4 linked regions of the Lonchura striata genome follow. The protein of the gene in region 3 purifies or fractionates together with the protein of the main gene of each other region. This does not show direct contact. Links are inferred from orthologs where the notes say so. Each region holds a gene or a part of one and is shown on either strand. Other genes may lie near its edges.

Evidence for each region.
Region 1: the proteins of CDK5 (region 3) and FIBP purify together in Homo sapiens (affinity purification with mass spectrometry; 7 studies listed by BioGRID and IntAct, counting the BioPlex papers as one, with this or other methods). This does not show direct contact. The link is inferred for Lonchura striata from reciprocal best matches to the Homo sapiens genes CDK5 and FIBP.
Region 2: the proteins of CDK5 (region 3) and CABLES2 purify together in Homo sapiens (affinity purification with mass spectrometry; 6 studies listed by BioGRID and IntAct, with this or other methods). This does not show direct contact. The link is inferred for Lonchura striata from reciprocal best matches to the Homo sapiens genes CDK5 and CABLES2.
Region 4: the proteins of CDK5 (region 3) and CCT7 purify together in Homo sapiens (affinity purification with mass spectrometry; 3 studies listed by BioGRID and IntAct, with this or other methods). This does not show direct contact. The link is inferred for Lonchura striata from reciprocal best matches to the Homo sapiens genes CDK5 and CCT7.

What each region holds. Positions count from the first base shown.
Region 1 is NW_027461085.1:11,895-18,909, reverse strand, and holds the start of FIBP (acidic fibroblast growth factor intracellular-binding protein), read right to left. Parts: upstream 3,018-7,015; 5' UTR 2,967-3,017; intron 1,926-2,966; 5' UTR 1,924-1,925; coding exon 1,839-1,923; intron 1,616-1,838; coding exon 1,417-1,615; intron 1-1,416. Other genes in the region: autophagy-related protein 2 homolog A-like, read right to left, coding at 4,786-4,806, 5,043-5,104, 5,605-5,726, 6,078-6,160, 6,311-6,367. UniProt on the Homo sapiens protein: May be involved in mitogenic function of FGF1. May mediate with IER2 FGF-signaling in the establishment of laterality in the embryo.
Region 2 is NC_134619.1:5,155,546-5,162,694, forward strand, and holds the start of CABLES2 (CDK5 and ABL1 enzyme substrate 2), read right to left. Parts: upstream 3,004-7,149; coding exon 2,501-3,003; intron 1-2,500. UniProt on the Homo sapiens protein: Unknown. Probably involved in G1-S cell cycle transition.
Region 3 is NC_134603.1:156,839,575-156,846,918, reverse strand, and holds the start of CDK5 (cyclin-dependent kinase 5), read left to right. Parts: upstream 1-4,330; 5' UTR 4,331-4,341; intron 4,342-4,353; exon of another isoform or gene 4,354-4,378; 5' UTR 4,379-4,426; coding exon 4,427-4,463; intron 4,464-4,591; coding exon 4,592-4,680; intron 4,681-4,776; coding exon 4,777-4,844; intron 4,845-4,977; coding exon 4,978-5,038; intron 5,039-5,130; coding exon 5,131-5,187; intron 5,188-5,281; coding exon 5,282-5,377; intron 5,378-5,709; coding exon 5,710-5,784; intron 5,785-5,894; coding exon 5,895-5,991; intron 5,992-6,070; coding exon 6,071-6,140; intron 6,141-6,546; coding exon 6,547-6,607; intron 6,608-6,682; coding exon 6,683-6,763; intron 6,764-7,004; coding exon 7,005-7,091; 3' UTR 7,092-7,344. UniProt on the Homo sapiens protein: Proline-directed serine/threonine-protein kinase essential for neuronal cell cycle arrest and differentiation and may be involved in apoptotic cell death in neuronal diseases by triggering abortive cell cycle re-entry. Interacts with D1 and D3-type G1 cyclins.
Region 4 is NC_134606.1:733,348-741,037, forward strand, and holds the start of CCT7 (T-complex protein 1 subunit eta), read right to left. Parts: upstream 3,017-7,690; 5' UTR 2,973-3,016; coding exon 2,967-2,972; intron 1,507-2,966; coding exon 1,353-1,506; intron 6-1,352; coding exon 1-5. Other genes in the region: PRADC1 (protease-associated domain-containing protein 1), read left to right, coding at 3,255-3,306, 4,272-4,372, 4,664-4,773, 5,423-5,590, 5,807-5,927. UniProt on the Homo sapiens protein: Component of the chaperonin-containing T-complex (TRiC), a molecular chaperone complex that assists the folding of actin, tubulin and other proteins upon ATP hydrolysis.

The sequences.
Region 1 (7,015 bases), on a different chromosome or scaffold from region 3:
GGGGGACCCCGAAACCGGGGAGAAAACCCCAAAATCGGGGGGCAAATGAGGGAGAAACCCCGACAACGGTGAGAAAACCCCAAAAACGGGGGGATAAACCCCAAAACAGGGGGGAAACCTGAAAAATGGGGGGAGAAAACCCCAAATAGGGGGGAAACCTCAAAAATTCAGGGGGCCCCAAAACTGAGGAGATCCCCAAAACCCTGCACCAAGCCCCAAAATCTGCTCCCGAAACTCCGAAACCACACCCGACAGCTGGAGCTGCTTCCCCAGTGCTCCCAGCCCTCCCAGTCCCCCCATTCCCAGTGCCCCCCATTCCCCCCAGTCCCCCCATTCCCCTATTCCCAGTCCCCCCAGTCCCTCCCAGTGCCCCCAGTCCCCCCAGTGCTCCCAGTCCCCCCCATTCCCCCATTCCCCCAGTCCCTCCACCATTCCCCCATTCCCAGTCCCCCCATTCCCATTCCCATTCCCATTCCCATTCCCCCATTCCCATTCCCATTCCATTCCCTTCCCCCATTCCCATTCCCCCATTCCCATCCCCATTCCCCAGTCCCCAGTCCCCATTCCCATTCCCATTCCCATTCCCATTCCCATTCCCATCCCCGTTCCCATTCCCATTCCCATTCCCCCATTCCCATTCCCATTCCCATTCCCATTTCCCCATTCCCATTCCACTCCCACTCCCATTCTCATTCCCATTCCCATTCCCACTGCCATTCCCATTTCCATTTCCCCATTCCCATTCCATTCCCACTCCCATTCCCATTCCCACTCCCATTCCCATTCCCATTCCCAGTCCCCCCATTCCCCATTCCCCCCATTCCCCCCATTCCCCCATTCCCCCATTCCCATTCCCATTTCCCCATTCCCATTCCCATTCCCATTCCCCAGTCCCCCCATTCCCCCATTCCCATTCCCATTCCCATTTCCCCATTCCCATTCCCATTCCCCCATTCCCATTCCCATTCCCCAGTCCCCAGTCCCCATTCCCATTCCCACTCCCATTCCCATCCCCATTCCCATTCCCACTCCCATTCCCATTCCCATTCCCCATTCCCCCCATTCCCAGTCCCCCCATTCCCAGTCCCCCATTCCCCATTCCCCCCATTCCCCATTCCCCCCATTCCCCTTCCCATTCCCCCGTTCCCATTCCCATTCCCACTCCCATTCCCATTCCCATTTCCCCATTCCCATCCCCATTCCCATTCCCCCATTCCCCCATTCCCATTCCCATTCCCACTCCCATTCCCATTCCCACTCCCATTCCCACTCCCATTCCCACTCCCATTCCCACTCCCATTCCCATCCCCATTCCATTCCCCCACTCCCATTCCCATTCCCATTCCCATTCCCATTCCCATTCCCCCCATTCCCACTCCCATTCCCACTCCCATCCCCATTCCCAGTCCCCCGTACCGCTGCACGAGCAGCGCCTGCCGCTCGGGGGGGATCTGGAAGAGCAGCTGCTGCAGCAGGCGCGGCGGCGCGTGCAGGAGCCGCTCCAGCATCTGGAAGGTTCTGTAGTGGTCGCGGGTGTCGCTCTGCAGCACGGCCACCGAGGTGCCCTCGCGCTCCAGCACGCCGCCCCGCAGGCGGCGCGCCACCGCCTCGGCCACTGCGGGAGCGCGGCCGTCAGGGACACGGGACGGGGGACAGGGGACAGCCAGGGGACAGCCAGGGGACAGGGGACAGCCAGGGGACAGGGGACAGCCAGGGGACACGGGACGGGGGACAGGGGACAGCCAGGGGACACTGAGACAGCCAGGGGACAGCCAGGGGACAGCCAGGGGACACGGGGACACGGGGACACGGGGACACGGGGGACCCCGGGGCCGTACCCGAGTGCCCGTCCAGCCAGAGCCGGTACACCTCCTCGTCGATCAGCGTCGTGTTCCCCACGAACACGTCCAGGTCGCTGCTCATCCCTGCGGGGCAGAGGTGCCAGCGTCAGCAGGGTCACCGTGTCACCGTGTCACCGTGTCCCCAACGTCACCGTGTCCCCAACGTCACCAGGGTCACCGTGTCCCCAGTGTCACCGTGTCACCGTGTCCCCGGTGTCACCGTGTCCCCATTGTCACCAGGGTCACCGTGTCCCCAGCGTCAGCAGGGTCACCGTGTCACCGTGTCCCCAACGTCCCCAGCGTCACGACTGTCACAGTGTCCCCGGTGTCACACTGTCCCCGGTGTCCCCGGTGTCACGGTGGCCCCGCGGCCCCAGACACGCTGGCAGGGAGACACCAACCCCAAACTGGGCCAAACTGGGACCCCAGACCCAAACTGGGACCCCCCAGACCCCAAACTGGTACCCCAGACCCAAACTGGGACCCCCCAGACCCAAACTGGGACCCCCCAGACCCAAACTGGGACCCCAGACCCAAACTGGGACCCCCAAGACCCAAACTGGGACCCCAGACCCAAACTGGTACCCCAGACCCAAACTGGGACCCCAGACCCAAACTGGGACCCCCCAGACCCCAAACTGGGACCCCAGACCCAAACTGGGACCCCCCAGACCCCAAGCTGGGACCCCAGACCCAAACTGGGACCCCCAGACCCCAAGCTGGGACCCCCCAGACCCCAAGCTGGGACCCCAGACCCAAACTGGGACCCCCCCAGACCCCAAACTGGGACCCCAGACCCAAACTGGTACCCCAGACCCCAAACTGGGACCCCAGACCCAAACTGGGACCCCCCAGACCCCAAGCTGGGACCCCCCAGACCCCAAGCTGGGACCCCAGACCCAAACTGGGACCCCCAGACCCCAAGCTGGGACCCCCCAGACCCAAACTGGGACCCCAGACCCAAACTGGGACCCCAGACCCCAAACTGGGACCCCCCAGACCCCAAACTGGGACCCCCCAGACCCAAACTGGACCCCAGACCCCAAACTGGGACCCCCAGACCCAAACTGGGACCCCAGACCCAAACTGGGCCGTACCGGGACCCCCCGCCCCTCCCCCACCCACCGGCGCCGTCCCGCGCGCTCCCTCCGCGGCGCAGAGCGGTGACGTCACGTGTGCCGGATGTGACGTCACGGATGGGCGCGGCCGCGCCGCTCCGGCCCCTCCCTCTTCCGGCCCTCCCGGGCCCCCCCCAGTAAAAACCAGTAAAACCAGTAAATACCAGTAAAACCAGTAAATACCAGTAAAACCGGTCCCTGTCCCAGCCCCCAGGTCCAGTCCCAGTAAGAACCAGTAAAACCAATAAGAACCAGTAAGACCAATAAAACCAGTAAGAACCAGTAAAACCAGTAAAACCAGTAAAACCAGTAAGAGCCGTCTCTCCCAGTTTATTGGGGGTGGGGTCGCGGGGGGGGCCGGGGCCCCCCCAGTCCCTCGGTGGGGGCGGGGCTGGTCCTGGAGCTGGGGAGGCGCTGGGGAGAGAAGGGGGGAACTGGGATGGACTGGGATGGACTGGGATGGACTGGGAGGGACTGGGATGGACTGGGAGGGACTGGGAGGGACTGGGATGGACTGGGAGGGACTGGGAGGGACTGGGAGGGACTGGGAGGGACTGGGAGGGACTGGGAGGGACTGGGAGGGACTGGGATGTACTGGGATGGACTGGGATGTACTGGGATGGACTGGGAGGGACTGGGAGGGACTGGGATGGACTGGGATGGACTGGGAGGGACTGGGAGGGACTGGGATGGACTGGGAGGGACTGGGAGGGACTGGGAGGGACTGGGATGTACTGGGATGGACTGGGATGTACTGGGATGGACTGGGAGGGACTGGGAGGGACTGGGATGGACTGGGATGGACTGGGAGGGACTGGGAGGGACTGGGAGGGACTGGGAGGGACTGGGAGGGACTGGGAGGCACAAGCACCCCCCAGCACCACCCAACCCCAAACTGGGACCCCCCAGACCCAAACTGGGACCCACCAGACCCCAAACTGGGACCCCCAGACCCAAACTGGGACCTCTGACCCAAACTGGGACCTCTGACCCAAACTGGGACCCCCCAGACCCAAACTGGGACCCCCCAGACCCCAAACTGGTACCCCAAACCCAAACTGGGACCCCAGACCCCAAACTGGGACCCCAAACCCAAACTGGGACCCCCCAGACCCCAAACTGGTAGCCCAAACCCAAACTGGGACCCCAGACCCCAAACTGGGACCCCCTGACCCAAACTGGGACCCCCCAGACCCCAAACTGGGACCCCCAAGACCCAAACTGGGACCCCAGACCCCAAACTGGGACCCCAAACCCAAACTGGGACCCCAGACCCCAAACTGGGACCCCCCGACCCAAACTGGGACCCCTGACCCATACTGCCCCCCCCATACTGGTCCATACTGGTCCGTACTGGGAGCCGCCGGTGCCGCGGGAGCCGGGGGGGCCCGGGGGGGCCACGAGTCCGAAAAGGGCCTCGGCCAGAGCCTGGGGGTCAAAGGTCACAGCCGGACCCCAGACCCCGGGGGGTCGGGGGGGTCGGGAGATATTTAGGGGATATTTGGGGGGATTTTGGGGAGATTTTGGGGGATTTTTGGGGGGGATTTGGGGATTTTGGGGGGAATTTAGGGGATATTTTGGGTTGATTTTGGGGGGTATTTGGGAGATATCCTGGGGATATTTGGGGGATATTTGGGGGATATTCTGGGGGATATTATGGGGATATTCTGGGGGATATTTTGGGTTGATTTTGGGGGGTATTTGGGAGATATCCTGGGGGATATTCAGGGGGATATTTGGGGGATATCTGGGGGATATTTCGGGGATATTTGGGGGGATATCTGGGGGATATTTCAGGGATATTTGGGGGATATCTGGGGGATATTTCAGGGATATTTGGGGGATATCTGGGGGATATGTGGGGGATATTTGGGGTATATTTCGGGGATATCTGGGGGATATTTAGGGGATATTTTAGGGATATTTGGGGGATATCCGGGGGATATTTCGGGGCTATCTGGGGGATATTCGGGGGGTCTGGGGCGCGGTCCCACCTGCAGCGCCCGCAGCAGCCGCGTGCCCAGCCCCAGCACGGCCCCGGCCGAGGCGGCGCCGAGCGCGGAGACCCCACGGGCGACCCCACGGGTGACGCCCCCGGGACCCCCCCCGGCAGCGGCGGCAGCAGCAGCTCCCGGAGAGCCCGCCCTGGGGGGACAGGAGGGTACTGGGGGCACTGGGGGCACTGGGGGGACTGGGAGGGGACTGGGAGGGGACTGGGAGGGGATTGGGGGGGAACTGGGAGGGACTGGGAGGGACTGGGAGGGACTGGGAGGGGACTGGGAGGGACTGGGAGGGGATTGGGAGGAACTGGGGGGGAACTGGGAGGGACTGGGATGGACTGGGAGGGGATTGGGAGGAACTGGGAGGGACTGGGGGGGAACTGGGAGGGACTGGGAGGGACTGGGAGGGACTGGGAGGGGATTGGGAGGAACTGGGAGGGGATTTGGAGGGACTGGGAGGGGATTGGGAGGAACTGGGAGGGAACTGGGAGGGAGTGGGATGGACTGGGGGGGGGGATTGGAAGGATAACGAGGGCACTGGGGACAGGGGGACATTGGGGCCACTGGGGATACTGGTGCCACTGGGGACAGGGGGACACTGGTGCCACTGGCACAGGGGCCAGCGGTGCCAGCGGCGCCACTCACAGAGCTGCAGCACGGCGTGCACCGGTGCCACCCCGCCCAGCAGCCCCGGCAGCTGGTGACACCGAATGTCCCGGAGCCACTCGGACACGGCGTAGGACACGACCCGGCCCAGCCCCAGCAGCCTGGGGGACAGGGGGACACGGGGGGACACGGCACGGCGAGTCTGGGGTCACGCAGGACCCCAGGCCCCCACCGGCCCCTTTGTCCCATGTCCACCCCAGTGTCCCCCCCTGTCCCCAGTGCCCCCCAGTGTCCCCCAGTGTCCCTCTTGTTCCCAGTGCCCACCCGACCCCTCTGTCCCCATTGTCCTCCCGGTGCCCCCCATTGTCCCCCCAGTATCCCCCAGTATCCCCCACTGTCCCCCCGTGTCCCCGTGTCCCACTGTCCCCCCCATGTCCTGCTGTCCCCCCGTGTCCCCGTGTCCCCCCGTGTCCCCGTGTCTCCCTGTCCCCCTGTCCCCGTCCCCGCCGCACCCCTGGCGGTGGCAGAGCCGCTTCAGCCGCAGTTGGGAGCAGTTCAGCCGCGCCAGCCCGATCAGGATCCCGGCCAGGGCGCCCTGGGACACGGGGACAGGGGGACACGGGGACGGGGGACAGGGAGGGGTCACAGGGAGGGGACAGCACGGGGTCATTGGGGAATGGTGGCACCGGGACACGGCCACGGCTGTCACCCCCTGTCACCCCCTGTCACCCCGTCACCCCCTCACCTGCTCCATGGTGACGCGCTTGCCGCGGTAATCCAGCCAGACGGGGACATCGGCCATGAAACGGAACTCGCTGGGGACAGAGGGACAGGGACAGGGACAGACAGACAGGGACAGGGATGGGGACAGGGACACACGGACAGGGACAGGGGAACAGGGACAGGGACAGACAGACAGGGACAGGGACAGGGATGGGGACAGGGACAGATGGACAGGGACAGGGATGGGGACAGGGACAGAGGGACAGGGACAGGGACAGAGGGACAGGGACAGGGGAACAGGGACAGGGACAGACGGACAGGGACAGAGGAACAGGGACGGGGACAGACGGACAGGGACAGGAAGAGCGCCGTCAGCCTGGGACAGCCCAGTCCCCCCCAGTCCTCCCAGTTCCCTCCCAGTCCCCCCCAGCCCCCCCAATTCCCTCCCAGTCCCCCCCAGTGCCCCCAGTTCCCCCCCAGTCCATTCCCAGTCCCCCATAATCCCCCCCAGTTCCCCCCAGTGCCCCCAGCCCCACCGGAAGTAGATCGGGGGTGTCTCCGTTTGGGGGTCCCGCTCCGGGGGCGGCTCCGGCCGGGGGGGGTCCCCGACCCCGGGGGGGCCTGCAGGAGGAGGGGGGGAGGGGAACAGTGAGGGGACCCCCAAAGCCGGGAGCCCCTCCCCCCCCAGGGCCCTCCCCCAGCCCAGCCCCTCCCCCCCGGCCGCGGT
Region 2 (7,149 bases), on a different chromosome or scaffold from region 3:
AGATGCTGATAGGAGACAGAGATCTCCATGGATCAGGGCAAGCCCCAGCACGATGAAATTCCCAGACATGGCACAAGACTGGTCAGGGAACACAGGCAGAGTGAGTCTGGAGACCCTGCAGCCAGTGATCCTCCTGCATCTGAGGAAAATTCAAAGCTGCTCTTGACAGTGACTCAAAAAGGATTCTGAAGAGAGCAGCTGCCTGAAGTGGATACCAAGGATGAAAAGTCCAGGATGGCAGTGCAGATTCCACTTCCCCCTTCCCTCCAACTTCACCTGCCTGTACCTCTACATGATGCAGGCAGTTAATGATCTAGAGTAGCAACATCGCTGTAAGGCAAAACAACTCTCAGATTCCCAAGTCCTAATAAAAGGGGATACATTTTGTAATTGCTGACTTTGGAATCTTAGTTTGCAAACAGCTCATCCAACACAGAAGGGGACAGAGTAAAAGCATCAGTGTCCTGAAGGACATTCCTCCTGCAATTCCCTGAATCACTCCTCGTGTAGTTACAACAAGAAGAGATGCCTCCGCTCAGTGGGGATGGAGAGAGATTCTGTCACGGACCAAAGCATGAAACTGTCCAGGGAAAAATAAAGCGGTAAGTCAGTCACCCTGTAAGAGGACAGTGAAACTGTCATTAGAGAGGGACAGTCCATTTCACCCACTCTTGTGCCCAGTGTGACTGGCATGAGGTACATTGGCTCTAACATTCCACAGGCAGCACAAAACTGTCCTTGTGTCAGAAGATGAGTGTGTCCATGTAAAGATGTGACTCTTCTGTCTGATGGTTTCAGTGGATGTCCTTTTTCTTTCAAGCTGAAAACTGGATGAACTCTCACTCTAATCCCCCTCAAAAGTAGTATGCAAACTGATCAATACAATATACCCTTCCAGCCAAATCTTCCAAGCAAAAAAATCACGGTTTATTTTGTCATTACTCAGACAGAATCCTTTTGATTCCCTTGATTGCCTTCTAGCATTCCTCTCTACCTTGTATTTCTGATTCATCATTCTTTCCAGCCAGATTGATTAGAATTACCGTAGTGGAACAGCTCAAACCTGATGCCAAAGAAAGAGGCAGGAAGGACATCAAATGAGAAGATCCTAAGAATATTTTCTTAGTGTCCTATTGACGTGGCATGCGAAGGGGAAGGATCATCTCTCCAGAAGTCTGCACACAGAGGCACAACGAAAGCCACATCCACAAAGGTAACTGTGCTATGAAACACCTGATGCAAAACTTGCCCTCAAGAGCTTTGCCTACAATATTAAAGCAATGAAATTAAATGACACAGCACCTCCTGTGCTGGCTTTTGTGGACCAGGAGTGCTAGGCAGGAACTGTTCCACAGCAACACCCTCACTCCAGGCTTTCTTGCTCAACTAGCGGCACACAACTGCACAATACAGGGCACCCAGCTGGCAGCCACAGCTTCAATTTCTTCAGAAACAAGGAGGGAAAGGTCTGTTCCATGACAAGAAAAGCAATGAGTGGTAAATAACATTTCAAGAGGAAAACACCCCAGAAAGGAGAACACATGAGGACCCCCCCACATTACTGACAGTCAAAACTGCTTCTCTTCAAATTCACCTGAACCCCCAAGCTGGGGATACACAGGACATCTCCACAGTGCGATACACATCAACTGCATTAGCAAACTCCCCAGCTTTAAAGCACTGACAACATCTCTATTTCAGCTCATTGACAAAGCTCTTGAAGCCACTGTAGACCACAGAGACTTAAAGCCTTTGGTACTGCTGCCTATGTGCAGCTCAGAGGGCCAGCTCATTTTACAGAGCTGTTTATGCAAGAAACAGCCTGAAAAGAGTTCTTTCAGAGCTCAAATCCCCAAGATCTGAGCAAGAACCTGCCTTCCAGTCGATTAGAAAAGGAACACTTTCAGCCTGACAGAAGTCCCTTGGAAATGCAATGGTAATCCTGCTCTGAAGGCCAGAGCATCCTCCCGCGAGGTTGACAAGTTCCCTGTGCACAAGCATTCATTAATACACAGTTGCAGAGACAAGCAGCACAAGAGCAGGAGAAGGCACGACACCAGCAGTGGTGGAAGCGTTCTGCCTAACAGTGACCCCCGCCAGCTTCATCTGGAAACAGAGAAATGCAGAAACTGGGCTGGGGAAAAGCAGAAGGCAGGGTTCAGGGTACCGCAAACCTGCAGACAGAGCCTCAGAGAGAAATCCCCTCCGCGGATCCCCCTCATCCGCCGCCGCGCCGGCCGGGGCATCCTTCTCGTCCGCGGGCCCGAGCGGCGTTGCCGAGGCAGCGCTCCCCGGCCGGACCCCCGCGCGCCTCTGGCCGGGGCCGGCGCCGCCTCCCACGGCCGCTGTGCCCGGGGCCGCCCGTTTCCCATGCCCCGCTCCCCCGCCCGGAGCCGCCGGCCGGCCCGGGGCCCTGGGAACGTCCGGCGCTTCCCACGCCCCGCGGGGGCAGCGCGGCGGGGGTGTGGGCCGGCCCGGCGAGCCCCGTCCCCTCACTCACCTCTGCCGCTGCGCCTCCAGCGCGAAGCCGCCGCCCGGCGCGCTCGGCGCGGGGCTCAGCAGCCCCGGGGCGCCCGGCTTGGGGGCCGCCAGCATCCCCGGCAGGGCGGGCGGCGCCGGGGGCGGCGGGCACAGCGGGCCGCCCAGCAGCAGCTGCGGCAGGAAGATGCCCCCGCGGGCGGGGTCCGCATCCCCCTTGGCTCCGGCGGCGGCGAGCGCGGGCACGCCGGGCAGGAGCAGGGCGGGCGGCGGCTGGCATACGGGCGGCGGGGGCAGCAGCCGCGGGGGGGCTCCGGCCGGCTCTGCCGCCGCCTCCTCCCCGTCGCCCGGGCCGGCGGGCAGCGGCGGCTTCTCGGCGGGCGGGCAGGGCGGCCGCCCGTCCAGGGAGATGTTGTTGAGGAAGAAGAGGGCGGCCTGCCGCCGCCGGGAGTCGCCCCGCTTGCGCGGCGGCTGCTCGCGGGGCGGGCGGGGAGGCGGGGAGCCGCACGCCGCGGCCGCAGCCATTCTCCGAATGAGCCGCGGCCGCCCGGGCGGGGCGGCTGGAGCGCAGCGCGGCCGGCGCCTCGCGCGCCCATTGGCTGCGTCGCGCCCGAATGCAAATGAGCCCGGCGGCCGCCCCGCCGCCATTGGCCGCCCGCGCCAGGCCCCGCCCAGGGCCCGGGGCCGCGGCCGCGCTGGCGCCGCCGGCGGGGGCAGCGCCCGGAGCCCCGCGGCGCCCCCGGCCTCTCCCTTTCGGCCCCGGCCCTCCCGGCCTCTCCCTTCCGGCCCCCCGCGACCTCCCCGCTGCAAACGGGAGCCCACCGTGCCGCCGTGCACCCCCCCGCCGTGTCCTTTTGCGTTACTTTTCGAAAACTTCTCCTCCCCTCATGTCCCCAGCCAAACCATCAGCAGAACTGGTGTCCCAAGAGATGCTGGCTTTCCTGGAGGCTGGAGGACGCATCTGCTGAACCCATCGCAGGCGTTGGAGCAGGTCAAAGCGCTGCTGTAAAAGCGGATGGAGGTCGTTGATGCTCCTGCTCCATCCCGGCAGCCTCGGAGCTGAGCCTGTGGCTCGCAGGGCTGAGCTGGACCCAATCCGCCGACCCCGGGGCGCAGCCCTGACACCCACCGGCAGCCCCGAAGCCCGTGCGGAGGGATGGATCCGCACGCTTCCAGCTCCTGAAGCAAAGCCAAGGCAGTGCCGATCCTGGGGCCGTATATGGGCAAGGCAGACCCGGGCTGGGAGGATATAAACTTAGTATTTATCTCCACAAAGTGACTGAAGGCATCTCTGCGCAATACGTTGCTTCCCGGACTGATGTGTTTATACTGCACGGGATAAACATTCCCCTCAGGCACTTGAACCCGTGTCTGTCACATCTCGGGATGATGCTCTGCCCTTTCCTTTCCTCAGGGGACTTTGATGTGCACTGGCAATGTCCGTGCCACTGAGCCTGGGAGGGGAGGTCTGGGAGCTGCGCTGGGCGTGATGAAGCATTTGGATCTGAGAACAGCGGTGTGTGGGTGCTGGTGGCCTCTGTGTTCCCCTGAAACCGAAACGAAGCCTTCCCATCCTTCCCACCTCTCATGCCCTGAAGCAGCTTGTGCTCCCAAGCAGATTTTGCCCACACAGTACATATTTTAAAGTACAGACCGAATTTACCATTTGAGATGTTTACCATTGAAAGTTGCCATTACTGTATTTGCAACACTGGACCCTTAGAGGGGTGAATGCTTCTGCCAAATAGGCTTTAAAAAGCCATATGGCAACTCTTAACATTACTTGCAGTCTACACCAACATTCAAACTGATGTCTGATGATATGGCCTGAAATATGGGCACTGAGTAAAAGATAGGTTTTGAAACTGTCCTATAAAACACGTACACGTTCTATGTCTTTTCATATGGCTGTTTCATAAGATTCTTTTTTGTATGCTGTTGCAAGTGGGCCATAAACACATCTTATAATATTAGTAACATATAATAATAGTAATAATAATAGGATTAAACTAGGTGTAGGACAATGTTTTCTTGTAGGCTTCCATTAAAAATCCTACAGTGAAATACCAACTCTGCCCTTAAATCCCAAGAACATGCTCAGCATCTTATACTGTTCCATATAGGTCAGATTTTGAGCATAAATTATTTGGCAGAACCATTACATATCACAGCTGTGGAAAAAATAGTTTGGGATAAAAAGGAATTAAAATCCTTCCTGCTGGCAAGCTCATCAAATAAGCCAGGGGATGAATAGGCATGGAAACCTATCTAGGCTTGCTGCAAACAATTCTTTAGAACCCAAGATTGGATTTTGAAAAATAAATGTGCGGCTTTTTTCTCATTCTTTCCCTGTAAAAATAGCTGTGGGATGTAAATCGTCCCACTGAGTCAGTGCAGAAAGGAGCAGCCTCCATGGCTTAGTGGGTTGCTAACTTCAAAGCTGAATTTAGCAGTTGGAGTGTTGCTGCTGTTAATGTTGGGGAGCTTTTATCTGTGTCTGACAACTCACAGTGTTTGAGTACAGTGAGCACAGTGCCGTGTTTCGGAGAATTTGGTGCTAAAACAGACGAGTGGCACATCAGCATCACTCCCACAAAAGGCAGTGCCTGGGTACAACCCTGAAAAGCTTTTTCTCCCTGTCTTCTGCAGCGAGGGAATCCCTGGAGCAAGGAGCAAAGGGAGCCCAAGCTCATGTGTGTTCTCTCCTTCCTACACAGGGATGATGTTTTGGAGAAAGGCTGGACTCCCCACCCTTCTGCTGCACAGCAGCTTCAAGTTCTGGCTGAAGCCTTTTCCAACCTTAACCACCACGAAATCACTGGATAAAGAGAAAGGCAGGCAGTTCTGCATTTTCAGTGACATTATTGCACAGATGTAAAATGTTACTCTGAATCACCAATACTCAACTCACACTCATTTTGCTCCTGGAGCTTCTACTCTACCTTAAAGGAAGCCCTGGGTTGTTTGGATACATGTCTGAGCAGTGTGGGGCTGCTGGAATAAGGAGCTGGTGTGAAACAGGACCAGCCTGCAAATCCTTATTCCAATGCTATTTGGGGAGAAGAGTCACCAAGGTCACAAGGATTTTTCGCCATGCAAGAACTGCAGGATCTGGTCTAAGCATCTGATATGAGACAGCATTTTAAAGTACTTATGTGGGCTGGCTGTTACATTTTTTGCAAAATCACGGCCCTGAATCAAGCAAAGATAAACAGGTCATAAGTATATTTAGGCTGGGAACCAGAAGTGCAGCTTCTGGTTGGAGGAACTACTGGTATTAAGATAAGGCACCAAAAGTTGCTGTAGACATTTAAGCAGGGTGGGGATGGAGGTCCGAGGGACCTCACAGGGACCAGGATAATCTCTGGAAGTCTGGGAGGATGACACAGAAGTGCAATGTGCATGTAGAACTTACTGTCCCTTCTCTCCTGAACAAGCTCTAATTCTTGTCCCAAATTTCCTATCACAGTTTACCCCGTTTAAATTCCCGCCTGAAATCAGGACACCTGGGGGCACACCAGCACTCTTTGGAGCTCAGCCTCAAACTCACCACATCCATATGAAGAGTTTTTGGGAGTACACATTCTCCTGAGTTCACCTTCTCCCTCCTCTTTGGTCTGTCTCAGAAAACACCCGCAGGTGCCATCCCCTGCTTGTGTTCCATGAGTAGGGAATGATGAAACCCTTCCTAACCACATTCACATGTTGGACCACTCCTGCTCCCTGCTGGCACATCCATCCATCCCCGCTGCTCTCCTCCTGCATCCCAAACCCATGAGACAGGTTTGGCTCCAGCTCTCAGAGCCACCAGCAGTGCAGCCTGAGATGGTTTTAATCTCCTCAGTGGGTTCCAGCTGGGGGTCCTGTTACCTTCTGGCTGCTGCTGGAGCAGAGCAGCAGTATTTCCTGCATTGCCATGTGCTTGCCCTGCTGGGTGACACAACCCTCTGCTCTTGCTGCATGTTCACAATTACAGCAAAATCAGCTGCTGCTCCTCAAGAGGCAAACATTGCCAGCAGCCCTGTGTGCCTTGGGGAATGACTCAGGTTCTCCTGCATGACACGGAGCATTTAAAAGACACAGAACTGACTGATTTAATCCTATTTCTCTGTACACAGAAGGGCCCTGTGCTCGAGTCAGGGAAATGTTGTGCTCTGTTTGCAAGAGGATTTGGGAATGAATGGATCAAACTCTCTTCCCTGAAGCACATGGTACTGCACTAAATGCTGTTATTAATAAATTAATAATTTTCATGGGAGAATCTTGGAAAATGTGCTTTTTGGAGAGGTCCCACTGGAGTTCAGCACATCCAGCACCAAGGTTGGTATGAGCAGGGTGTGCAGCACAGCCTAGGGAGCTCCTGAAGTGTTGGTGATGATATTCAAGGCAGAGCAGAAATCTCTGATATCCAAAGGATACAAGAGGAACTTGCATTTTGGTTCAAAAATTCCTACAGTAAACTTTGCTTGAGATAAAGGAGCAAGGGAACTCCCCAAATCTTTCCCTTCCAAGAACTGCTGCTGCTTGCTGGATTTGCTAAATCTATCCACAACTTCACAGCCTCCTTTCAAAAGTGTGAAGGCTTGTCCCTATGCTCTGTTCTGTACACCCAAGCTGTCCCTGTCCCCGTTCCCTCACTCCTGGCTGTGAGCTGCAGAGCTGCATGAGGCT
Region 3 (7,344 bases):
TGCAGTGACACCACCTTGCCCTCCTCTCGGGCAGGAGGGTCAGGACACACAGCCGGGGCCATGGCGGTGACAGGACCGTGCCGGTGCCGGTGCTGGCACCGCCGCCGGCCGCGCCCTTCGCACGGCCCCGCGGCACAATGCGTGCTTGTGAGAGGCCGGGCCGCCCCGATAAACGGGGCAGGACCGCGACCCCGGGTGGCTGCCAGCCCTGGCCACGCTGGGAATGACCCGTCGCTGCCACGGGCGCTCAGCGCCGCTGCCACGGCCACTCCCGCGCCGCCGGAGTCACATTCCTGGGACCGGCCCTGGCCTGCCTGAGCTGCTGAGGCGATTAGAGGGCTTGGCCCTGGCCCCGCACTGCCTTGGGGCTGCCCGGAGGGCTCACAAGCTCCTGGACCCAGCCTGTGCCGGGACCCACCTCTGGCACCACTGGCACTGCCAGCACTGGGGCAGCGGGCCGAGCACGGCGGGAAGTGGGACCATGATGCTGGCATTCACACCGGGATACACGTGTCCACACCAGGACAATTATGTCCTGGACAGCCTGTCCACACCAGGACAACCACATCTGTCCTGGGACAATCACATCCTGGGCAGCCTGTCCACACCAGGACAATCACCTCCCCACTGAGACACCCACGTCCTGGGAAGCCAGGTCACACATCCACAGCAGGATAACCCCGTCCATAGCACAGAGCCAAAACCCCATGAGAAGAGGCAGGACTGGGAGTGGGGGACCCCCATGGCAGCAAACGTCCTCCTGCCCACTCTCCCATGGCAGTGCCCCCCTTAGCAGTAGCACCATGACTCCTGCCAGGACATCTCCTGCCACCACCATGTCACCTGGCAGATCCCTGACACGGGCTCAGTGCACACACATGTGCCGCCCATGCTTGTGCCCACACTGGCATCAAGGCTGAAGGTGACCCCCGTAGCACGTTCCCCGGGCTTGGTGGAGACACCAGCTCCCCTTGGTGACAAGGAACAGCACACCGTGCCTGTTGTAGCCTCCCTGCTGGCAGCACCTCCAGCACGGCATGTGCCAGGCAGAAGGAATGGCTGGGGCGAGGCCAGCACAGCTCAGGCTGTGCCCATCGCCTGGGCAGACATGTCCATGGAAGAGGGAAGTCAGGAGATCCCCAGATCCCTGCACCCCGAAATGGAGGAGGCCCAGTGGGGGCCCCAGCACTCTGCCCACTCCCAGAGACAGGAGAGCCCCAGCTCCCTGCAGCCCCTTGCTCCCTGCCCCATCTCACCTAGCTGCTCCTGGAAACCCCTGGGTGTCAGTGGCACCAGTGTGCCCCCAGATCCCACCCAGCAGAAGCACTTGGGATCCTGCACCCCCTCATCACCACGGGATGGAGCTGGGCCAGACACCACTGGCTCCCACCCAGCAGTTTCACACACAGAAACTTCAGAAACCAACACCAAAAATATTCACCTCCCCCTGCCCAAACCCCTGCCCACGACCTCAAAACCACCGGAGGTGGAGATGAGTCACAGCTCTGTACCCACATGGTGCCACTAGCACTGGCATTGCCACTGTCACCAATGTGCCAGGCACCCGCCACCACCTCTCTGCTGCCTCAGGGAGGCCAGGACCCCCCCACACAGCACCAGACCCGCAAGAGCCTCCTGCCATTGCCGGCGGTCCCCACCACTGTCCCCGTGCCAGCCCCAGGAGGGGACAGGCACAGCTGCCCCCTGCAATCCCGTGGGGACACGCACCAGCACCACAGCTCGGTGCCTGCAGGATGGGATATCCTTGAGGGGTGGTCTGGCCACAGGGACAGCCCCTGTGGCACCTGCGGCAGGGCTGGAGGCCGCCCTGCACCCTGGGCTGCCGGAGCCCAGCGGGGAGGTGTCGCTCCCGCCGTGCCACCCCGGCCCCAGCACGGGCTGCACCCCACTCACCCCATCGCCCGCCGAGCCGGTCAGCCGGGGCTCCGGCAGCTGCGCCGCTCCCGCCCCCCAGGCCGGGCTCCTGCCCGCGGGAAGGACGCGGGACCCCGGCACGGCAGGGGCGAGGCCCGTCCGGAGCCGGCCCGCGGGCAGCGGCGCTGTGCCCGGAGCTGCCGAGCGCTGCCCGCAGCTTTATCCCGGCTCCGGAGGAAAACAACCCGCGGGAGCAGCGGCGGCAGCGCGAGCCTTTGTTCCGCGGAGCAGCCCCGGATCCGATCAGGGAAGCTCTGCCAAGTCCTTCGCCGTGGCTCCCGTGGCGACCCCACTGCCGCCCAGGCGTCTTTGGGGACACAGGGGACACGACCCCCTCCGTAAGCGCAGGGTCCCGCCTCGGGCGAGGGTTGTGTCCCCCCACCCTTGGCCTGACGCCCCTGGAATGCCCCAGCGCGGCGCTTCGGGCAGCCAGCCCGGCCCCTGCGGCCGCCGCGTCCCGTCTAATGACAGGCTGCGGCTGTGGGGGCTGAAACGGGGACAGCGCGGGGACACGGCTCCCACGGTCCCTCCCTTCCGCCGGCTGGAACGGCGCTCCCGGGCAGGGTGGCACCTGGGTCCCCCTCAGCCCTGCGCAGGGCACGGGGTGCCAGGAGGGTGCCCCAGCCCATCCTTCGGAGCCTGCCGGCAGCCCCATCTCCTGCAGCGTCCCTGCCCGGCCAGGACAGGTGACAATGCAGGTACAGACCTACCCGAGCCCCGGGAACGGAAGGGCTGCCGGCAGGGAGGCGAGGCGCCGGTGCCAGCGGATCGTTAGAACGATCAAATCCCGGTTTTTTTGGCAACCGCTTGAAGTGGTGCAGCGACCCCGAAGGGCTCGACAGCAGGTTCCCAACTGGAGCCCTCCTCCGTGGGGGGACGGGGCAGGCACGGAGCCCTTCCCGCAGCACTGGGAGCTGCCAACAGAATTCCACCACGGAGCAATCCCAGATCCCGTATCAAAACCAAAAGGGTCTCTGCAGCTGGGGAGAAGCAGCCACGGGCAACGCAGCCCCCAAAACCTGCTCCCACCCCAAACCTGCTGCCGCCTCCCCGGGGACACGCTCCCGGGCCATGGGAGCCCACGCTCCGTGGGAGAGCCCCGGCTGGAGCCGTGCCCGGCGTTGCTCAACCCCGGATGGTTTCGCAAGGGGCAGTGCCCCGGCACCCGGCGGCTCTCAGCGGGCACCGCGCGACTCCCCGGGCCCCCGGACCCTCCGTTCCGGGGCAGGGTGGCTGGATGAGCCCAGACCCCTTCCTGGCCCTGTGGAGCCCTCGGACCCCTCGGCTCCCGGGAGCGGGGGGCTGCAGGGTGCTCCGGACCTGGGACAGGGACACACGGCGGGTCCCCAGCCCCGTCACTCACCTGCCGAGGGCTGCCGGGCTCAGGCGCCGCGGGGCAAGCGCATGGAGCGGCCTCGCTGTAAGAGAGGGACGATGGTGGATGCGGGGTCCTGGCTCCCCCGTGCCCCCGGGATCCAGCGTCACCCCGAGAGCAGGCTCCGGGGGCACCTGGGACCGCCCGGCGCGGAGCTCCGGTGGCGGCGGAGAGCGGCCGAGCTTCAACGTCCCGGGCAGCATCGCTGCGGGCCGGGAGGGGTCCCGGGTGTCCGGGAGGGGTCTCGGGGTGGCCCTGGGGGATGCCCGGGCTGGGCATTGCTCCACCTGGAGCCGAAGGAGCCAAGGCACCCGGAGCATGTGCCGGGAGAACCGGAGTCCCGGGGCACGGCACAGCCCCCCTGAACCCCCCCAGCGCGGCAGGGGCCCCGGGGAGGAACTGGGAGAAGCACAGCCGCGGCCGCGCCGGGACCTGGGGTTGCCAGGGCGGGGCAGGACGGGACCGGGACCGGGATCGGAGCTGCCGCGGGCGGGCGGGGAGGCAGTGGAATGGAGGGGGCTCGGTGAGAGAAGCGTGCGGGGACCGGGGACAGCACCGACTGGGACGGGCGGCACCGGGAGGGTGGGGACACTGGGACGGGACCAGGAACGGGACCGGGACCGGGACCGGGACCGGACCAGCCGTGCTGAGCCCCGCCAGCCTCACCACCTCCGTTCACGATCCCGGTGCCGGTGCCGCTGCTTACCGGACGGTCCAGCCGCGCCGGGCGGGTCTGCGCGTTCCCGCGGGGCGGAACGGCGGGAGCGCGCCGGGGCGGGGCGGCACCGGGCGGGTCCGCACCGCTTCCGGCACCGACCCAGCGAGCGCGGAGACCGTCCCCGCAAGGGATCCCCACCGGGCGCCCGCGCAGCGGCGCTGTCCCGCGGGGGGCGGCGGGGGGAGCCGGGGGTCCGGCGGGGAGGCGGCGGGCGGAGCCGGGGCTCGAACCCGGAACCCCGGGGCGGGGGCGGGCCCCGCGGGAGGCGCGGCGGGGCGGGGCCGCGCGGGGCCGCCGGGAGGCGCGGCGGGGCGCGCGGGGGCTGCCGGGAGGCGCGGCGGGGCCGGGACCGGGACCGGGACCGGGGCCGCTGCGGGGCCGCGACCGATCGCGGCGCGATGCAGAAATACGAGAAGCTGGAGAAGATCGGCGAAGGTGCGGCAGGGCCGGAGCCGCACGGAGGGAGCCGGTGCTGCCGCGGGGCCCGGCGCTGCTGTGGGGCCCGGCGGCGGTGTCGGCACGGGTACCGGGGCCTCGGTCGTGACCCCGTTCCATTCCCGCAGGCACTTACGGGACCGTGTTCAAGGCCAAGAACCGGGAGACGCACGAGATCGTGGCGCTGAAGCGAGTGCGGCTGGACGACGATGATGAGGTGAGGGGGGGGCCGGGGCTGGGATCCCCCCGGGACCCCGGGACGCCCCCCGGGACCCCCGGGAGCCCCGGCTCCCACAACCCGCGTGTCCCGCAGGGGGTGCCCAGCTCGGCGCTGCGGGAGATCTGCCTGCTCAAGGAGCTCAAGCACAAGAACATTGTCAGGTACCGGGGGCTCCGGGCGGCCCCGGGGGCTCCGGGCGGCCCCGGGTACCGGCGTCGCGGCTCGGGGGATGCTCCTGCCCGGTGCCCCGGGCCCGGCCAGGCGCTGCGGGGCTCAGGAACCCCTGCCCTGCAGGCTGCACGACGTTCTGCACAGCGACAAGAAGCTGACCCTGGTCTTTGAGTTCTGCGACCAGGTGAGCTCCGGGGGCACGGGTGTCCGGGGGGGCACGGGGGTCCGGGGGGGTCTCTGAGGGTCACCGCTCCCGGCCCCCCTCGCTTCCCTCAGGACCTGAAGAAATACTTTGACAGCTGCAACGGGGATCTGGACCCCGAGATTGTCAAGGTGGGTCCGGGGGTCCCGGGGAGCCCCCGGGGTGCCGGCCCTGCCCCGCCCGGTGCCGCGGGCTGGCTGACGGAGCCCGCCCGTGCCCCCGCAGTCGTTCATGTACCAGCTGCTGAAGGGCCTCGCCTTCTGCCACAGCCGCAACGTGCTGCACCGGGACCTGAAACCCCAGAACCTGCTCATCAACCGGGTGCGGCGGCGGGAGCACGGGGAACAGCCGGGACCGGGCACGGAGCGGGGCTGCGCTCGGGAATGGGGCTGGCTGGTTGGCTGTCTGTCTGTGTGTCCTGGGCAGTCACACCTGGGAGCGGGGCTGTGCTCAGGGGTCACACTTGGGAATGGGGGCTGCCTGCCTATCTGTCTGTCTGTCTGTCCTGGCAGCCACACCTGGTGTCTGTCCAGCCACAGCTGCAGCTCCATCTCTCCCCTGTTCCCAATGATGAGAAAGGCAACAGGGCCACAGTCCTGGGGTGCAGGGGATGCAGGTGGGGCCCCCCACGCTGACCCCGTCTGTCCCCCCAGAACGGGGAGCTCAAGCTGGCGGATTTCGGGCTGGCTCGGGCCTTCGGCATCCCTGTGCGCTGCTACTCAGCCGAGGTGAGCGGGGGCTCCTGGGGCTGCTGGGGCTGCTGGGGCCCGGGGTCCTGGCCCTGCCCAGCTGGCTGGGGGTCCCGTGTCCCGGTCCCAGTGTCCCTGTCCCTCCGCAGGTGGTCACTCTGTGGTACCGGCCCCCCGATGTTCTCTTCGGTGCCAAGCTCTACTCCACCTCCATTGACATGTGGTCAGCCGGGTGCATCTTTGCAGGTACACTGGGGGGCCAGGGGAGCGGAGGGGGGCCTGGGGGGCCATGGGGGCCTGTGGGAACCACCCCTTGTCCCCCCAGAACTGGCCAACGCAGGGCGGCCCCTCTTCCCGGGCAACGACGTGGACGACCAGCTGAAGAGGATCTTCCGATATCCTTGGGAATGGGGAGCACCAGAATGGACGGCCTGGGAATGGGGAGCTCAGGGAATGGGGAACCCAAAGGAATGGGGACTCCTCCTGGGAATGGGGACTTCCCCTGGGAATGGGGACTCCTCCTGGGAATGGGGACTTCCCCTGGGAATAGGGAATCCCCTGAGAATGGGGAGCACTGTGCATGGTAATCCCTCTGGAATGGGGGATTGGGGAAATCCTGGAATGGAGAGCCCTCGGGAATGCAGACCTCCCCTGGGAAGGAGGAGCCCTGCAGAATAGGAATCCCCTGCGGAATGGGGAGCTCTGAGAATGAGGATCCCTTGAAATGGGAACCCCCTCGGCTGGGCAGGGGGGCAGGGCCAGGTGCTGGGTGCCCCCGTGGTGGCCCTTGACTGTCCCCACGCTGCTGGGGACCCCCACGGAGGAGCAGTGGCCGGCCATGGCCAAGCTGCCGGACTACAAGGTGAGGGCAGGGGGCGCGGGGGGTCAGAGGAAATAAGGGGGTCTGGGGGAGCTGGGGTCACCTGTGTGTCCCCAGCCCTACCCCATGTACCCAGCTACCACTTCCCTGGTCAACGTGGTGCCCAAGCTGAACGCGACTGGCCGGGACCTGCTGCAGGTGAGACCCCTCCCCTGTGCTCCCCTTCCCGTGCCCCCCACCCTGGGTGTGTCTCCCAGCCTGCACTCCCCTGCTCCTGTCCCACCGCAGCGTCCCCCACACGTGTCACCCCTGCCCACCCCGTGGGGGCTCTGGCTCCTGGGCGTGGGTGCCCTCCCGCCTGCAGCCCCCTGCCCGCCTGGGTGGGCTGTGGGAGGGGGAGGGTCCGTGCTCTCCCCCCTGAGCCCCCCGTGCCCCCCAGAACCTGCTCAAGTGCAATCCGGTGCAGCGGATCTCGGCGGAGGAGGCCCTGCAGCACCCCTACTTCACCGACTTCTGCCCCCCCTAGGGCCCCCGAGGGGGCAGCCCCAGCCGCCCAGCCGGGTGCCAGCCCCCCGACTGCAGCCCCCCCAGTATTTATTAGGACCTGCCCCGGCTGCGGGGGGCTGGCGCGCCCGGCCCCCAGCCCCGGGGGTGGATGAGAGGGCTGGGGCTCCCCCGGGGCCACGGGACTCACCGGTGCCAGGGCACTTCCCAAGGGCACGGGAACCCGACAGGGCTGGTGGAGGGGCAGGACCCTCCGGGACCAGGAGCAGGGACCC
Region 4 (7,690 bases), on a different chromosome or scaffold from region 3:
TTTGCCTGGGGTTCGTGCAGAAAAGGGAGTTAAAGGCAGCTGTGCACTGGCAGGGGTAAAGCCCTGTCTCTGGGGGCTCTCAGCAATCTCAGCAGCCTCCTCTGCTCCACCAGAACTCACTCCTGTCAGCCCATTTGTGGAGCAGGTTCAGTGAAGTCAGTCTGAGAGCAGAACAACTTTCCACACCAACAAAGGTTTGGAATTCATTTTCCCCCTTCTCAAAGGCCTCCCTAGACAGATAAAACCATATTCTAGTCTGAGACTCCCATGAAGAAAGAGTCTAGAAATCATATTAGTTGTCATAAGAGAAATTTAAATTGAATTATCCTTTTGAACAAGGATTTATTACAGTTCCTACTTGGAAAAGCTACTTAAAGACAATACTAAACCTTTTTACGCCACCCTTCAGTAACAAAAGTAGTAAGTAATTATTATTATTTATTATTTATTATTATGGTGACTTCATACCAGTCTTTTCAAAGTGACCACAAAGTTCATCTCTAAATCACACTTCAAAAAATAGATTAAAAATCAGCCCAGGAACATCCACTGACCTCACACTCAGCCACAACTGCTGAGTTACTCCACAGGTATCATGAGCCTCATTTAAAAATAGAGATGACCAAAAATACCTGAAGAGAGGTTCAAGCCTCTCTGCTTCTCCTGTCTGGCACAGACTGACACTGGATGCATCCAACTGATGCCTCAGGTTTTGCTTTTCTATTTTTCAGGTTCTGTGCTGCTTTAGTGTGCAGGTCTGGGTTTTATTTTAGGGACTGATGAGCTCTCATCAGAAAGCAGGGACAAAACAATTCCTGCTCCAGCTGAGCACCAAGGACAATGATCCAAACCTCAGCCCAGGAGCACAAACACCGTGGGCTGGAGAGAGAAAAACCAGCAGGATGGGACTGATGGGCTGGAGCTGGAATGGGACAATGAACTCCAAGGTGCCAATGCAGCAGAACTGATCCCAGGGAGAGCCCCGGGAGTGCTCGTGCATTTTGGGACCATTTTGGGTCATTTGGGTGCAGCCCTGGCTGGGCTCTGGTGCAGCCCAAGGTGGATCCATGAGGAGATCCTGGAATAAATCCCTGCTTTAATCTTCAGCTCTGTCCAGCCCCTGTTCTAGGCCAGCCTTCCCAAGGCAGCACAACCCCCCTGGCTCTGCATCTCCTCAGGAGCTCCTGGGGAGCCATCAGGAATCCTCAGGCTGGACTGGCAGCTGTCAGGCAGGCAAAGCCCTGCTTTGTAAGGGGCCACCGAGGCAGAGCTGAGCCTGGCAGGGTGAGGCTGCTGGCACTGAGCAGACACAAAGCCGCTTTAACCCGCGCAGGGCCAAGGCCCGCACCCACCCCGATCGTCCACGATGAGCTTGTCCATGCCGCGCGGGCCCAGCGTGGTGCGCACGGCCTCGGCGATCACCTGGCACGCGTTGATGTTGCTGACCAGCTGCGGGATGCCCTGCGAGGTGTCCGTGCCCTCCTTCAGCAGGATAACCGGCGTTGGCTGCAGGGAGGAGCGCGGCACGGCCGTTAGCCCAGCCCAGAACAAACTCCTGCCGGCCCAAAAGGCACCCGTGTGCAGGAGCAGGACCTAAAACACGGCCTCGCTGCAATTCCCCTGCTCCACACCACCCATCCCGCTGGGAATTCACACAACTGCTCCGCCACAGGCTCGGGGACCACACAGGAATCGTCTTAAAAATAACGGGTTTTTGGGGCGGCGGGGCCCACCGAGGCGCTGATCTGATGCTGGCCTGGAGGAGACAGAACTTGCAGGAATTACAGAGAAGTGAGGAACCAAACAAGTCTGAGTGGCCAAAGCACCAGAGCAGCTGGGGCTGCCCCTGGATCCCTGGCAGTGTCTCAGGCCAGGCTGGACACTGGGGTTGGAGCAGCCTGGGGCAGTGGGAGGTGTCCCTGCCATGACAGGGGTGGCACTGGGTGGGTCTTAAGGCCCCTTCCAACCCAAACCATTCAATCATCTCAAAGGCTGAGCTCGGGCAAAGTCCAAACACTGCCCAAATTTGGGATGCACTGGCTCGGAACAGCCAGTTCAGAGGCAGAACTAAACTGAACTAATTAAGTGCTGAACCAGCTCAGCAGGCACACAGCAGAACTAAACTGTTCTTGTTGCACTGAGGAGTCACAAGCACAAGGAGATACTGCAGAGGTTGATGGGCACAAAAAACATCTCCGGGGTCTGGAGCATCTCTCCTCTGAGGAGCTGGGCCTGCTTAGGCTGGAGAAGGGAAGGCTGAGAGGGATCCCATCAATCCACACAAATCTATCCGAGGCAGTGCCAACACGTTGGTGCCAGACTGTTTTTGGTGATGCCCAGCAACAGCACATAAATTAAAACACAAGCAGTTCCCCCTCAACATGAAGAAGAACTTTCCATGGAGTGTGACAGAGCCCTGGCACAGCTGCACAGGGAGGGTCTGGGGACATCCCAAAGCCACCTGGGCACGCTCCTGTGTCACCTGCTCCAGGTGACCCTGCATAGGCAGGGGTTGAACTGAGCGATCTCCACCGTGACTATTCTGTGGAAGAGAACGTACAGCCTCCCTCCACACCCACAGCGCGGAGATCCCAAGGGAAACAGAACCGGTTATCCCCGGGGCAATCAGCCCGGAGACACATCCACCTCCCCGGGGCAATCAGCCCGGAGACACATCCACCTCCCGCATCCCGGCGGGGCCGGGCCGGGCCGGGCCGGGGGCTGCCGCTGCCAGGGCCCGCGGCCGGCGCAGCCCGGCTCCGGCGGGCGCGGCTCCGCCGGGCCTGCGCGCTCCATCCCCGCCGGCCCGGCCCGGCCCGGCCCGGCCCGGCCCGCCGCAGCCGCTCGCTGGGGGCCGGCGGGGGCCCCGCGGGCCGGGCAGCGCGGCGGGACGCGGGAACGGCGGGGACGGCGGGGATGGCGGCGGATGGCGGCGGATGGCGGCGGATGGCGCGGGGCTCACTCACCATCATCGCGGCGGCTGCTCGCTCCCGGCCCCACAATGCCCCGCGCCCGCCCAGAACCTTCCCGGGGGCGGGCCGGGGAGGAGCACTATTTGGCAGGGAGGGAAGAGGGCGCGCAGCGTGGGAAATTGAATAGATCACTATTTGGCAGCGAACGCCGCGGTGACAGCGAGCTGCCCGCGCCGGCTCGCGCGTGATTGATGGCGGCGCAGACCAATAGGAAGGAGCGCGGTAAGACCATGCACCAATGGGGAGCGCGGGGCGGCCCGGTGGGCGGGGCGGGGCGCAGCCATGCTGCTCTGGCTCTGGCTCTGGCTCTGCGTCTGCTGCTGCCCGGCCCGCGGTGAGTGAGGGACGGAGGGAGGCACGGAGCGGGGACAGCGATCACAACCCGGGCCGCGACCACCCGGGCCCCGCGCCCGCACCGCGCACACAGCCCGGGCATCCCGGGCCGGCCGCCTCCCCGCCCGGCGCCCCGCCATCCCGGTGTATTTCCCCTCGCGGCACCCCGGCCCCGCTGCGGTTCCCCTCCCGTGTCTCTGTCCGGTGTATTTCCTCTCCCAGCCCCTTGCCGTTCCCCTCCCGTGTCTCTGTCCCGGTGTATTTCCCCTCCCAGCCCCTTGCCGTTCCCCTCCCGTGTCTCTGTCCCGGTGTATTTCCCCTCCCGACACTCCGGTCCCGTTGCCGTTCATCTCCCGTACCCATACGGGGCATTCATTTCCCCTCGGTGCGCCCCCACCTAATTGCGTTTCTCCTCCTACATCCCGATCCGGGTGCGTTTCTCCTGCAATTCCCTGGGTGCACCTCGACCCAGTTTCCCTACCCAGCACCCCAATCTTGCGGCATTTCCTCTCGGTGGGGTCTGAGCCCCTCGGATTTCCCTGTGATCCAGGTGCTTTTCCCATTACTGCGCCCCAGCTCCATTGCATTTCCTGCTGCATCCTAATCCAAGTGCGTTTTCCCTCCCATTTGTGATCCTGGTGGGTTTCCCCTCTGTTCCCCTCGGTCTGGGTGCCTATCACCTCTCTCCCCTCCATGATCCAGCAGCATTTTCCCTTCCCCTTGAGCACCCAGTCCCGGTGCTTTTCCCATCCCCATCCCCTGTCAGTCCCTGGGAACTGCCACATCTGCCCTTGGAACACCCCAAAACCTTTGGGGAATTTTGGGACCTGGGCCCAGCCAGGATTTGGCATTGCTGGAGGGCGTGTTCTCTCCCCGGTGGTTCAGGAGTGATAACGGACTTCTCCCTTTTTTCAGGGATTTTGCCTTTAAGTTTCCCTTGCCTCAGCTCTGTCTTTTCACCCCCAGGATTACGCATCCATGAATATTTGTACTTCCAAGTGCTGAGCCCTGGAGACATCCGCTACATCTTCACTGCCACCCCAGCCAAGGATTTCGGTGGCGTGTTTGTAAGTATTAAAAACTGAATTTGCCACTTTGGGTCCCTCCATGCCAATATTGCTCCTCGCTGGGACTCAGTGCTTTGGGGTTTTGATTAAAATGGAGCTCACTGCTCTTCCACAAGCATCCCTGGCCTCAGCAGGATGCCAGAGTCAGGGACTGGCACCAGGGCTGGCTCTGAGCGTCCCTGAGCCTGGGAACCCAAAATCTCCCCCAGAGCAGCCCCCACAGGGATGAGCAGGGCGTGGGAGGGGGAGCAGCTCCGTCCCCCCGGCTCACCCCTGCCTGTCTCCTCGGAGAACACAAGGTATGACCAGATCCACCTGGTCCCCGCGGATCCTCCGGAGGCCTGCGGAGAGCTGAACAATGGGGTCTTCATCCAGGACCAGATCGCCTTGGTGGAGAGGGGGTAGGTCTGGCATGGTGGCAGCTGCTGGGGGACCCTGCTGGGCAGGAGGGGAGCCCTGGCCACATCTCCCCATCACTTCCAGATCTTCCTGGGGCTTTCCCCACATAGATAAACTGGGAAAATGCAAGGCTGTTCCTACCCTGGAGAATTGCATCTTGTATTTTTTAGCCTGTGGCAAGGTAGAAAAAATGCTGCCCGAGTTCAGATTGAGAATAGGTTTAGATTAGACAGTTGCAAAGAACTCTTCTCTGTGAGTGGTGAGGCCCTGGTACAGGTTGCCCAAAGAAATTCTGGATGCCTCATATCCCTGGATGTGTCCATGACCAGACTAGACACTGGGGCTTGGAGCAGCCTGGGACAGTGAGAGGTGTCCCTGCCATGGCAGGGGGTGGCACTGGATGGGCTTTAATGTCTCTTCCAACCCAAACCATTCCAGGATTTTACTTAATTTTTTTTTAGGAATGTGGGTGGCTTGTAGCTGAAATACAGACTCGGAGGAGCGGGGTTTGGAGGAGGTGTGGAATCAGGGAGACAATCCCTAGTTTGGGTGTGCCCAGGCCAGCTCTGGCAGGTGCAGGCTTTGGAGCAAGCTTTGGAGCTCGCTGCGGCCACCCCAGGTGGGTGACGGCGTGGTCGCTCTGTGGGGCAGGGGCTGCTCCTTCCTGTCCAAGACCCGCGTGATCCAGGAGCACGGCGGGCGCGCCGTCATCATCGCCGACAACGCCTACGACAACGACAGCTTCTACATCGAGATGATCCAGGACAGCTCCCGGCGCACGGCCGACATCCCCGCGCTCTTCCTGCTGGGCAGGGACGGGTACGTGCCCGGGCTGCTTCCCAGGGTGGGACGTTCCTGGCAGCGGTGACAGCCTCGTCCCTCTCGGCAGGGAGGGCCCGCTGCTCGGCGTGGCCCTGCCAGGCTGTGGCAGCCACATCCACGTGGATTCAGTGGCGGTCAAGGGGCACGTGGAGCTGGGCTGTGCTCTGGGCTTGGTGTGGCTCCGCTCTCCAACCCTGTCACCTCCATCCCCAGGTACATGATCAGGCGCTCCCTGGAGCAGCACGGGCTCCCCTGGGCCGTCATCTCCATTCCTGTCAACGTCACCAGCATTCCCACCTACGAGATGATGCAGCCCCCCTGGACCTTCTGGTAGCAGCAGAAGGCTGCTCAAGGACTTCCTGGTGCATCCCAGGACCTTAGGACCGGGTCTGAGGAAAGGATCCCAACATGCTCCAGAGATCTCGCTGGATTTGGCGACAGATCTTTCTGCTGGCACCGCGGTGTGGCCAAGCACCAGTGCTAGGGGGAACCTTGAGCCTGGCACCAACCTGTGACTGTGGGAGGGAGGTGAGGGCCCAGAGCAGGCCAGCACTTCCCAGGAAACATTTGACCTTGTGCTGCTGATTTGGAGGCATGAGGACTGGCAGGGATGGGGGAAGAGCGATACACACTTGGTCTACCAGCAGGGCTCACCCAATGTCTGTATATTTTTGTCTGAGCTAATGAAGTCTGAGTAAGTTTTAGAGAAAGGGAAGTTTCTCTTTTATTTCTCAGCAGATGAAGGGATAAATCTCATCCTCAATTTTTTTCCTAGTATAATTCTCCAAGTGCCTCCTGCAGCTGGGGCAGGGCTCAGAGCTTCATGGGACAGCGCAGCCTCCAGCAGCTGTCCCCAAGGTGGGCTGGTCACAAATCCAGAGCCCACACTTGCACAGGTGTCCGTTCGCTCAGCCCCAGCCCTGTGTCCCCACAGGTGCAGCCCCTGGGTCACAGCCCTGTCTGCACTCAGCACCAGCAATACAAAGCACAGGTCCCCAGCTGTCACCAGTCTCGGTTTATTAGGAACACTGAAGGGGACGGCTGGGGACAAGCAGCGGGAGGCAGGGCTGATGGTGATGGCAGTGCCACAGGTGTGCCACCCTCGGTCCCACAGTCCTGCTGCCATGGACACGGCAGCAGGAAGCAGCTCCCTAAAACCCACGGAGGAAGGAAATAACCCCAGGTGCATCCCTGACCTGCTGCCCGTCACTTGGAGCTGTTGTCCCTCCAGCCACATGGTCTGCACACAGGGACAGCACAGCACGGCGTGGCCTTGAGGGTGGCAGCATGGCATGGGTGACAAGGGGACATCCAGTGGGGCCACTCTGCACTGGCACATCTCCATGTGGGAGCACTGGGTGCAGGGAGGCACCCAGCACATGCTGCATCCCCAGGCACAGCCTCGTCCCTACAAAACCCAAAATGTCTTCTGGGTTTGGCATGACACCCCAGCCCATGTCAGCTCCCGGCCATTCTCCATCCCCACACGGTCCTGCCCTGGGCTCTGTGTCATGGGAAGGATGGGCCGAGCTGGGAAGGTGTCTGCAGGGTCAGCTCTGCTCTCCCTGCTGAGCTCTGGGCCACTCTCCAAGGCATCCCCTGCAAGATCCATCCGCCTGCCCCTCACTGCTGGCCAAGGCATGGAATGCAGGATACATGAGGGCCCCAGCTCCATAGTGTGTAGATAGTGCTAATATAGACATTAAATAGTACCCTCGTGCACAGACACACGGACACACACACACACACACACACACACGTTCCGGGTGGGAAGGACAAGCTCCTCCACATCCACAGCCTGCACAGACACAGGGAGTGACCTCACAGGTGACCAGCATGGTGTCCCAGGGGCTGGCTGGATCCCACTCTCCACCAGCCTGCCCTACTGGGAACTGGGATGCGCTGGAGGGCCACTGGCTCACAGCTTGTCCTCACGGGGAGGACAGGGACAGCCTGACACACACACACACGCACAGGGACACCACGGACAGGTAGGAGCAGGGCCTGCCTCCGGCTCCCGGCTGCCCCGCTCCGGCACCTCTGCACAACCCCGACCCCACAACACAACCCTGTTCTAAATTAAAGCTGCTGCCTCTT